Linked DNA regions of Struthio camelus. The protein of the gene in region 2 interacts with the protein of the main gene of each other region in a biochemical or structural test. Links are inferred from orthologs where the notes say so. Each region holds a gene or a part of one and is shown on either strand. Other genes may lie near its edges.

The links.
Region 1: the proteins of NFYA (region 2) and ZHX1 form a complex in vitro, tested with the Homo sapiens proteins (2 studies listed by BioGRID). The link is inferred for Struthio camelus from reciprocal best matches to the Homo sapiens genes NFYA and ZHX1.

Annotation. Positions count from the first base shown.
Region 1 is NC_090943.1:160,143,570-160,147,472, reverse strand, and holds the start of ZHX1 (zinc fingers and homeoboxes protein 1), read left to right. Parts: upstream 1-1,401; 5' UTR 1,402-1,577; intron 1,578-1,854; 5' UTR 1,855-1,964; intron 1,965-3,903. UniProt on the Homo sapiens protein: Acts as a transcriptional repressor. Increases DNMT3B-mediated repressive transcriptional activity when DNMT3B is tethered to DNA. May link molecule between DNMT3B and other co-repressor proteins.
Region 2 is NC_090965.1:5,976,551-5,980,453, reverse strand, and holds the start of NFYA (nuclear transcription factor Y subunit alpha), read right to left. Parts: upstream 2,838-3,903; 5' UTR 2,707-2,837; intron 2,466-2,706; exon of another isoform or gene 2,287-2,465; intron 2,051-2,286; exon of another isoform or gene 1,715-2,050; intron 1,387-1,714; exon of another isoform or gene 1,250-1,386; intron 693-1,249; exon of another isoform or gene 241-692; intron 1-240. Other genes in the region: ADP-ribose glycohydrolase OARD1, read left to right, coding at 3,241-3,313, 3,613-3,680. UniProt on the Homo sapiens protein: Component of the sequence-specific heterotrimeric transcription factor (NF-Y) which specifically recognizes a 5'-CCAAT-3' box motif found in the promoters of its target genes.

The DNA.
Region 1 (3,903 bases), on a different chromosome or scaffold from region 2:
CCTTGGGTATGTTACGGATGCAAGTGTTGTCCAGGATTCACCTGTACCTGGAAAATAAAAATTCCAGATTTCAAGAGTGCATGTGTATGTAAGCGAAAAAACGCTGTATGCTGATGCTGAATCTGAAAGCCACAGTAGAGGACACGTTCAGTGGACAACAGGAAGCTTTCATCCTCCAGGGAGAGGAGAGGGAAAAAATTATTGAAGCAAAAAAATCCTTTTTTACCACTTCAAGGTGAAGTTGAAAGCCTGACATCCAAAATGCACCTTTCACCAGGGAGTCGCTGCTAGCTCATTGTATGGTAACTAGGAAATTTCTTACTTGAACTTTTTAAAAAAAAAAAAAAAAAGCATGGCAAACGAAGAATCAGAAACAGTGTTCTGCTCAAAACTTCAGAGTTTTGGTTCAACTTTTATGTACTGCTAGCCTCAGCAGGAAACAGTACCTATATTGTTTTAAAAATGTATAGATGTGTAAATCTTAAAGGTTGGTGTGATGCTATTGCTTTTTTTTTTTCTTCCTACTGTGAGGAAACTTAAATTTTAGTGTGACCCCAAATTGCAAACTACTGCTTAAGATTAGTATGTTAAACAGAACGTTTCAAAAAGTGCGTGTGGCAGGAGTTAAACTAAAGCCTGACTAACCCGTTGAGGGGCGTATTAACTGAAGAGGTCCTCTTTCCCCAAGTTCTGATAGGAGGTATAAAAAAACCCACGTTATTTGGTTTTATAGTTCCCTTCCCCCCCCCCCCCCAAAAAAAAAAAACCAACCTTTAATTCTGTGCCAGTTTGTTCGAGCCCGGCGCGGGGGTGCTGGGCCGTACGCTAACTCCCTGCTTTGGTGACAGACTGGCCGTCGCTAACGCAATCTCAGATTTGCAGAGAAGGAAAAGCTGTGAGGTTAAAGCCGATGCTAGCTTTAAAAAATCACATGCACGTGTACACAGACACACGCACGTACACATATAGGTACATATCAGATTCACATCCCTCCTATGTATGCGGAGATCTCGGTTCAGAGGAGTTGGTGGAAGCTGCTGCTGATCCAACGCCGCCTCGTTAACGGTTTCTTCCCTGTCGCCTCCAGGGCTTCTTCTGCCTTCTCCCGTGCCCGAGGCGCAGCCCGGGGCCGAGCCGCTTGCCCCGGCCCGCCGCGGGGAGCCGCGGGCCGCGCCGCAGGTGCCCGGGCAGGGCCGCGGGGGCTCCCCGGGCCGGGGCCTGCGGCGGGTGCCCGCCGGCCGCCTCACGGGCGGGGCGGCGGAGCGGCTCCGCCCCCGCTCCCTGTGAGGGAGGCTGAGGCTCCGGCCGCCGCTGCCCGGCCTCCCCGCGCAGCCCGGGGGCAGCGAGGCGCCGGGAGGATGCGAGTGGGCGCCGCGGGCCGCGGCGAGGCGAGGCGAGGGCCCGGGCGGCCGGCGGCGGCGGCGCTGGGAGTTCGCGGCTCGCTCGCCGCCCCCCCGCCGCCAAAGAAGTGCAGTAGTTTGTGAAACGCAAGATGGCGGCGCGGCCGTGAGGGGAGGCGGCCGGCGGGCGGCGGAGGCGCCGGCGGCGGGGGCGAGGAGGCAGCGCGGCGCCGCCAGGTAGGGGCCGGCCCCTCCGGCGGGGGCGAGCGGGCGGCGGGAGGCCAGCGGGCGCCCCGCGGCAGGCGGCGCCCTCCCGCCCGCCGCCGCCGCCGCCGCCGCAGCAGCAGCCGGCGGGCGCGGGCCAGGTGCGCCCCGCGGGGGCGGCCGCCGCCCCACCGCCGCCGCCGCCCGCCCGCCCGTTGCGCTGCCCGCGGCGGCTCCGCGGGCGAAGTTTTGGGGAAGGCGGCGCGGAGGCGCCGGGCGCGGCCTGACGCTCCGCTCTCCCCCGCCGCAGGATGCGCAGCGCCGGCGATCGGGAGCCACTTCGGTAAACGGCGCGACGGAGGCGGCCCTGGATCCCCGGGAGGACTCGGGATATCCGCAACAGCGAGCGCTCCCGGGCAGGTACTTCATTTTTTGCTTTCCTGCTTTCCCCGTGCTTCATGTTTTGAGCCGCTTTGCTTTTCTTGGGGGTTTAAATAGCCGAGGGACCAAGGGGCTCGCTTTGCACCGGGCGCCGGTGAAAGCGGAAAGGCCGGGGTGCGGATGGGTCTGCCAGCTGGAAGAGGTGCCGCTCGGTTGTTTTTTTGTTTTGTTTTGTTTTTTTTAAATAGAGATGAGCAGAGAGCGTGTTGGGAACGTCAAAAGTGCGTATGGAAGTGGATTTCGTTATGGAACTTGTGACATGGACACTGATGTTTTGTTAAAGTTAGAGACGGGAATTTTTAGAAGCTGCCCTGTTGGTTTTGACCAGCAGTCGTCTTGTTTGGTTTTGTTCAGAAGGATTTCGCACGCAAAAAAAAAAAAAAAAAAAAAAAAAAAAGAAGCTTTGGGGCTCGCGTAGAGACAGAAAAGAGCCCGTTCCAGCTGCTTAAAACAACCCGTACGACGCAAACTGTAGGGCTGCCCTAAGCAAAGACCTCTTTGAACGAGCACGCACCGTCAGGAAACCCTCCCGTCACTGCGTTGAGACGTGGTCAGGGAGGCAGCGCGTTTCAGCTGTGAGGTTCCACAAATTCCTCTCAGCTGATGAGAAATAGATGCTATGTTTTATAGCGGAAACGATCTGCCGTTAACTTTCAGGTCCTGGCACTTGCTCTGTCTTTGCTAGACTGACAAGCCCTCTGCTCTCCCCTTTTGGTTAGCATAGGCGTCTGCTGCGATTGTCCTAAACTTGCCTTTGTTAAGCATAACGGTTTGAGGCAGCGCTCTTCCTTGCAAGGCCTGCTTTCCTACTCTCTTAATGGTTCTTAGGAGTTTTCCTGGATTCTGTCCTTTCTGACAACACCCTTGATGACCTGTGCGTGCTTCAGCCTCATCAAGTGCTCTGGCGTCTAGCCTTGACTGCTGTCACTTACCGTTCTTAGTTACTGTTGGAATAGAGAATATTTATCACTGCCTATGAATAGGTCGTTGGAGACTTCTAAAGCTGTTTGTTGAACATCTCTGCCTTTTGTGGATTTCTCGGTACTGAAGCATCACTAACAAATAATGGACTTTGTACTATGTCTGGGGTTTCTCTTTGTTCCTAATGTACTGAAAAGACGGTTTCCTTGCATCTTTTGCTTCATTTAACCATGTGTATCTTTCGACTTAAGCTTATTACTGCCTCTGAACTTTGCCACTTAGTTCTCCCCTTTCTCCCATTTGTTACGTGTAGTGTGAAAGAGAGGGTTACAGTTTGATTCAATTTTTTGTCTAGTTATGTTTAACCTTTGCGGCCGTTTTGTTTGGGAGATGAGTTCTTTGGAATTTAGAGAGGTCATATTTGAAAAATTATCAGTCTTATCAAGTCAGATTCTCTCTTTTAGCTTGAGTTCAGAATTTTTTTCCAGCTATATGAAGCTGGTCCTTTTAAAGCACCAAGTACTTACAAGCTGGTTTTTCATTCTGTTTGCACACAGTAAGTGTAATCAAATCATGCTCACTTGTAGCTAAGCTATGGCTCGTCTTTGTTTTGGTGTTCATTTGTTCTTTACCTGTCAAACTGAGGTCTAATGTAGAATTCCCCTGTGTCAGATGCAGCATTTTAATTTTATGAAATTATCTTCTCTAATTTTCTGAAAGCCTGAGCCTCTTTCAAAATTGACAGACTGATTCCTCTCCCCTTAAATTTCAGTCCTATGTGATAACAGTTTTGGGGTTGTGATGGTGGGGGCGGTTCTTAACGTTGTTAAGCGGGGTGCATGAGGCCCTGGGCGTTCTGATCTCTTCCGTAAATTAACGGTCAGTATTCCCTCTCCTTCTTGTGCTTTATATGTGAGGCCACTGATCCATAGAAGTCCAAGATGGTTTGCCCTGAGTTGTCAGTGACTTGTAAACAAGCGATGCCATGTTCGGTGTA
Region 2 (3,903 bases):
TTAAGTGTAAAACCAAGCTACCTTTCAAGAATTCAACGAGGCTAAGCGAAATAGTCTCTCCTTCCCAAGTATGCAGCACTCCTACCTTGTATCTCTCCCCTCTCCTCGCACTTTTGTATAATTTGAAAATAGCCAGCAGACTTCTCATTGCTTCTATCCTTTTACTACCTCTCCTTTCTTGGACCCTTGCCTAGACATATGAAGAACACACTGCTGAAATAAAATACTTAGTTCCATTACCTCTTTCTTCCCCACATTTCTTCTCTTCTTAGTTGAACAACAAAGAAAGAATTCTTACCATTACTTTTAATGAGGAATTTGATTTATGCTACAACTGGAAAAGTACCCGTTACACTAGTGAAAAAGCAGTCTTTGACCTTCATCTTCAAAGTTTAAAGCAATAAAAAAACAGGTCCTTTCAGCGTTCAAAGAAATGCATATAACATTTAGCCACAACTTCCACTAACCGTAATAGTTTTTGTGGTTACTACTGTAATGACACCTCTCTTACTTCCTGCTCTTTAATTTTAAAATATCCTTTGTACTTAAGTGTCTTGCATTCATCTTAAGAACATTTCAGTTTTCTCATAGAGTTATTCCTCACTGCGACCTAAGAAAACATGCTATGTTTTTACATTTCATTGATTTCTTGTTCATTAACACAAAGTATTGTTTACTCACAAAAAAAAAAAAAAAGATTAACCAATATGTATCAGGACAGATCAGAAGCAAGTTCACTGCAGGACACACAACTGCCATAATAATGTAAGCCTTCTCGGTCCCGATCAGGTATTTTGTTCAGAATTAAGATGCAAGAACACTAAAGCTGGAAACAACAAAAATAATCTGAGTCACAGCACAGAAATTTTGCTGCAATTTTAACTATCTTTGACCCATTAGCAACAGTTTTCCGCAGAATAAGAGGAGACAAATATTCTTTCTGAGTTGCTTCTGTCTATCAAGGTTTTCATTGCGCCCAGCATACTTAATCTCTTCCCTAAAAGTGTGTTGGCCTGTCAGAAAACAGCTCCCACATTTCATTCTTCATGGAAGCATTTCCAATAGCAAGCTCGGGATGCCACTAAATTACATTGGCCAAAACTTCTCTGGTTTCCCCAACGCCACAACCAGTAATTAAGCGCAGACCTACTTATATCCCAGAATACTTCTTCTCAGACCCTCACATCAAGCCCCTGTCCTGTTTACTTAAAACATAAGTAACATTGCAATCCTAAGGGTCGTAGCTAACCCGTCACAATGGAAGATTTCACATGTACTGGATCGCAGTCCTCCACAGGATTATGTTTCATTCTCTTCATTAAAACAGAGTCAGCGTTGCTCTGTCAAAGTTAAATTTTAAAGATCAGCGACAGCACGCCCCTCCCACAGCTGATCTCACTAGTGAGCTCCCTCCACATGCCTTACTGCCAGGCCCTTGTCCGCACTGGCCACGACTTAGTGCTCTAGTTCTATCAGTATATACATATATACACTCATCTACACACCATCCTAACAGCAGCTACATCGACAGCTCCCCACATGGATAAGCTGTGCTGAGACATTGCTCGTGTGATAATCTATGCCAGAGCTTGAGTTAGCATGAAAGCATCATTTTAAACTGTGTCACACCCTGAAGCAACATTACTAAACTGGCAGAAATTTCTAGGACGGACCCTGTCAACCTACCCCCGCGATCACTGTCCTCAACGGACAGGACACTCGCACAAAGCCAAGAACAGGATTTCACTTAAACAACAGCGCAGACAGGCCACAGCCTTATCTCCTGCTGTTCAACAGGAAACACCACGAGGTGTCCGTCTCTCGTTCCTGACCTCCTTATCAAACTTGTAAGTCGGGGAGTTCACCCAGAGACGTTTTCATTTTATTGCAGAGCCAGAGACGGGAGAATTTTCGCTGCGGGCAGAGGCCGCGCCGGGGCGGACGAAGCAGTGCCCCGCAGCCCGCCGAGGGGCGGCAGAGGCGGCGCCGAGGCCCCTCGCACCCGCAGCGAGGCGGTTTCTCCCCGCGGCCGGCGGCATTTGGCATCCAGGTCCTTTTCGCGATGGCCGGGGGGGGGGGGGGGGGCGGAACCCGGGGGACGCTGCCCCGGCGGAGGCAGCGACCTGCCCTTGGCGCACAGGCGGCGGCTCCCCCCGCCCCCGGGCACGGCGGGCGGCGGGGGGGGGGGGGGAGAGGAGGAGGAGGGGCAGCCCGGGCCGCCCGCGGCCCATCTGTCAGCGGGGCCAGCGGAGAGGCTCGCCCGCCCCGCTCCCCCCTCCCGGCCGCTCGAGGGCGGAGCCCTGCCGGCTCCCGTCCCAGCGGCCCCGCACGGGCAAGGCCAGGCCCGCCGAGGGAGGCCGGGCCCGCTGCCGCGCATCTCCCCTCAGCAGCCCGGGCCGCCGCAGCCCGCGGCGGCGCCTTCCCCTCCACGGCTGCCGCCCTTGGCCCCGCGCCCGCACCGCCCGGTACGCTCGCCCCGGCCCCCAGCCCAGGCACTCTCCTCCCGCGGCCCGGCCCACCCCGGCCCCTCTCCTCCCGGTTCACCCCCCCCCCCCGGCAGGAGCCGGGCCCCGGCCCCTCGCCTCCCCCAGCGCCCGGCCGGCCGGCCCCGGCCCTGCGAGCGGCCTCCTGACTGGCCACTCGGCCCCGCCAATCCCGGCGCTGGGGCCGGCGCTCGGGGGCTCCATATTGGCTGCTCGCACTCACCGTGCCTCGCTCCCCCGGTTCGGGTCCCGCGCTGATTGGCTCCGCTACCGGTCCCCGAAACCCAATCAGCGCCTCCACTCAGCCGCCGCGCAAAATGGCGCCCAACCCCGAACAAAGGCAGGGGAGGGGGCGGGCACGCGTTGCGCAGGCGCACCGGAGCGCCCGCGCCGCATCGCCCCGCCTCTTTCGTCGAGGCCCTTCGTACAAGGCACCGCCCACCCGCGCCCGGCCCCCCACCGCGACTACTGCGCCTGCGCCGAGGGGAGCGCGCGCGTCTCATCCGGCCCCTGCGGCCTGCAACGCGCACGCGCTGGCTGCTGCCCCACCCCCTCTTCTTGTCTTCTCCCTAGGCTCCGCCTCGGATCGATCTGCGCAGGCGCCTGTGGGACGGGTAGGTTGGCTTTCGGAATGTTCTCGGCGAGCATCATAGAGAGGGCGCTCCTCCAGCCTGCCTAGAGAGACAAGCAGGCAGGGGCGGCCATTTTTGTGTGACGATGAGCCTGCCCCAGTGGAGAGTACGGGTTGGTTTGGCTCATGTGGGGAGGACTGGGGAGGCTGTTCGTGGCACAAGGCCCGGCCCGGCGACTTCTTCGTGCTGTGCCTGCAGGTCTGGCCTACTGAAGGGCTTCCTGAAGAGGCCGGGGTGGCTTGAAGGAAGGTGCAAGGCCTGTGGGTGCTGATTATTGTGGTAACCCTAGGCTGGGGCCTGCCTTGCACCTCAGTAGGCTGGAGCTGTGGGGCTGCAGCAGGGAAGCTGGCTTCCTTTCCTCTCTCTTCCCAGGGGCTGTTTTGTCTGCCCCATGTATCCCATTAATAGGCAGTCTCAGCCTTGCGCCTTCTATCACACCAGCTTGTTTCCCAGTTTGGGGTTCCTAATAACTCTCTTTCTCTCTGTCATCTTTTCAGCTGAAGGAGTCTTCACCATAGCCCACGTTACCATGGCCACCCACTTCTTCAAGGATCAGGGGGAGAGAGTGCGTAGAAAATGGGTTATTTGAGCTGCTGTGATGTGTCTCTTTGTAAAGAGTCCTTCTTGTCCCCTAATAACAGGGCAGTTGTACCATGTTGCTTTTGTGGGGAAAGTGGCTGATATTAAAGTAATATATTGTCAACTTTACAGTGCTCCTGTGCTTGTATCGGTGATATGGATGATGTACATTAGCACAGAGCTTATCTGTTTAAGTAAACGTCTGGGGA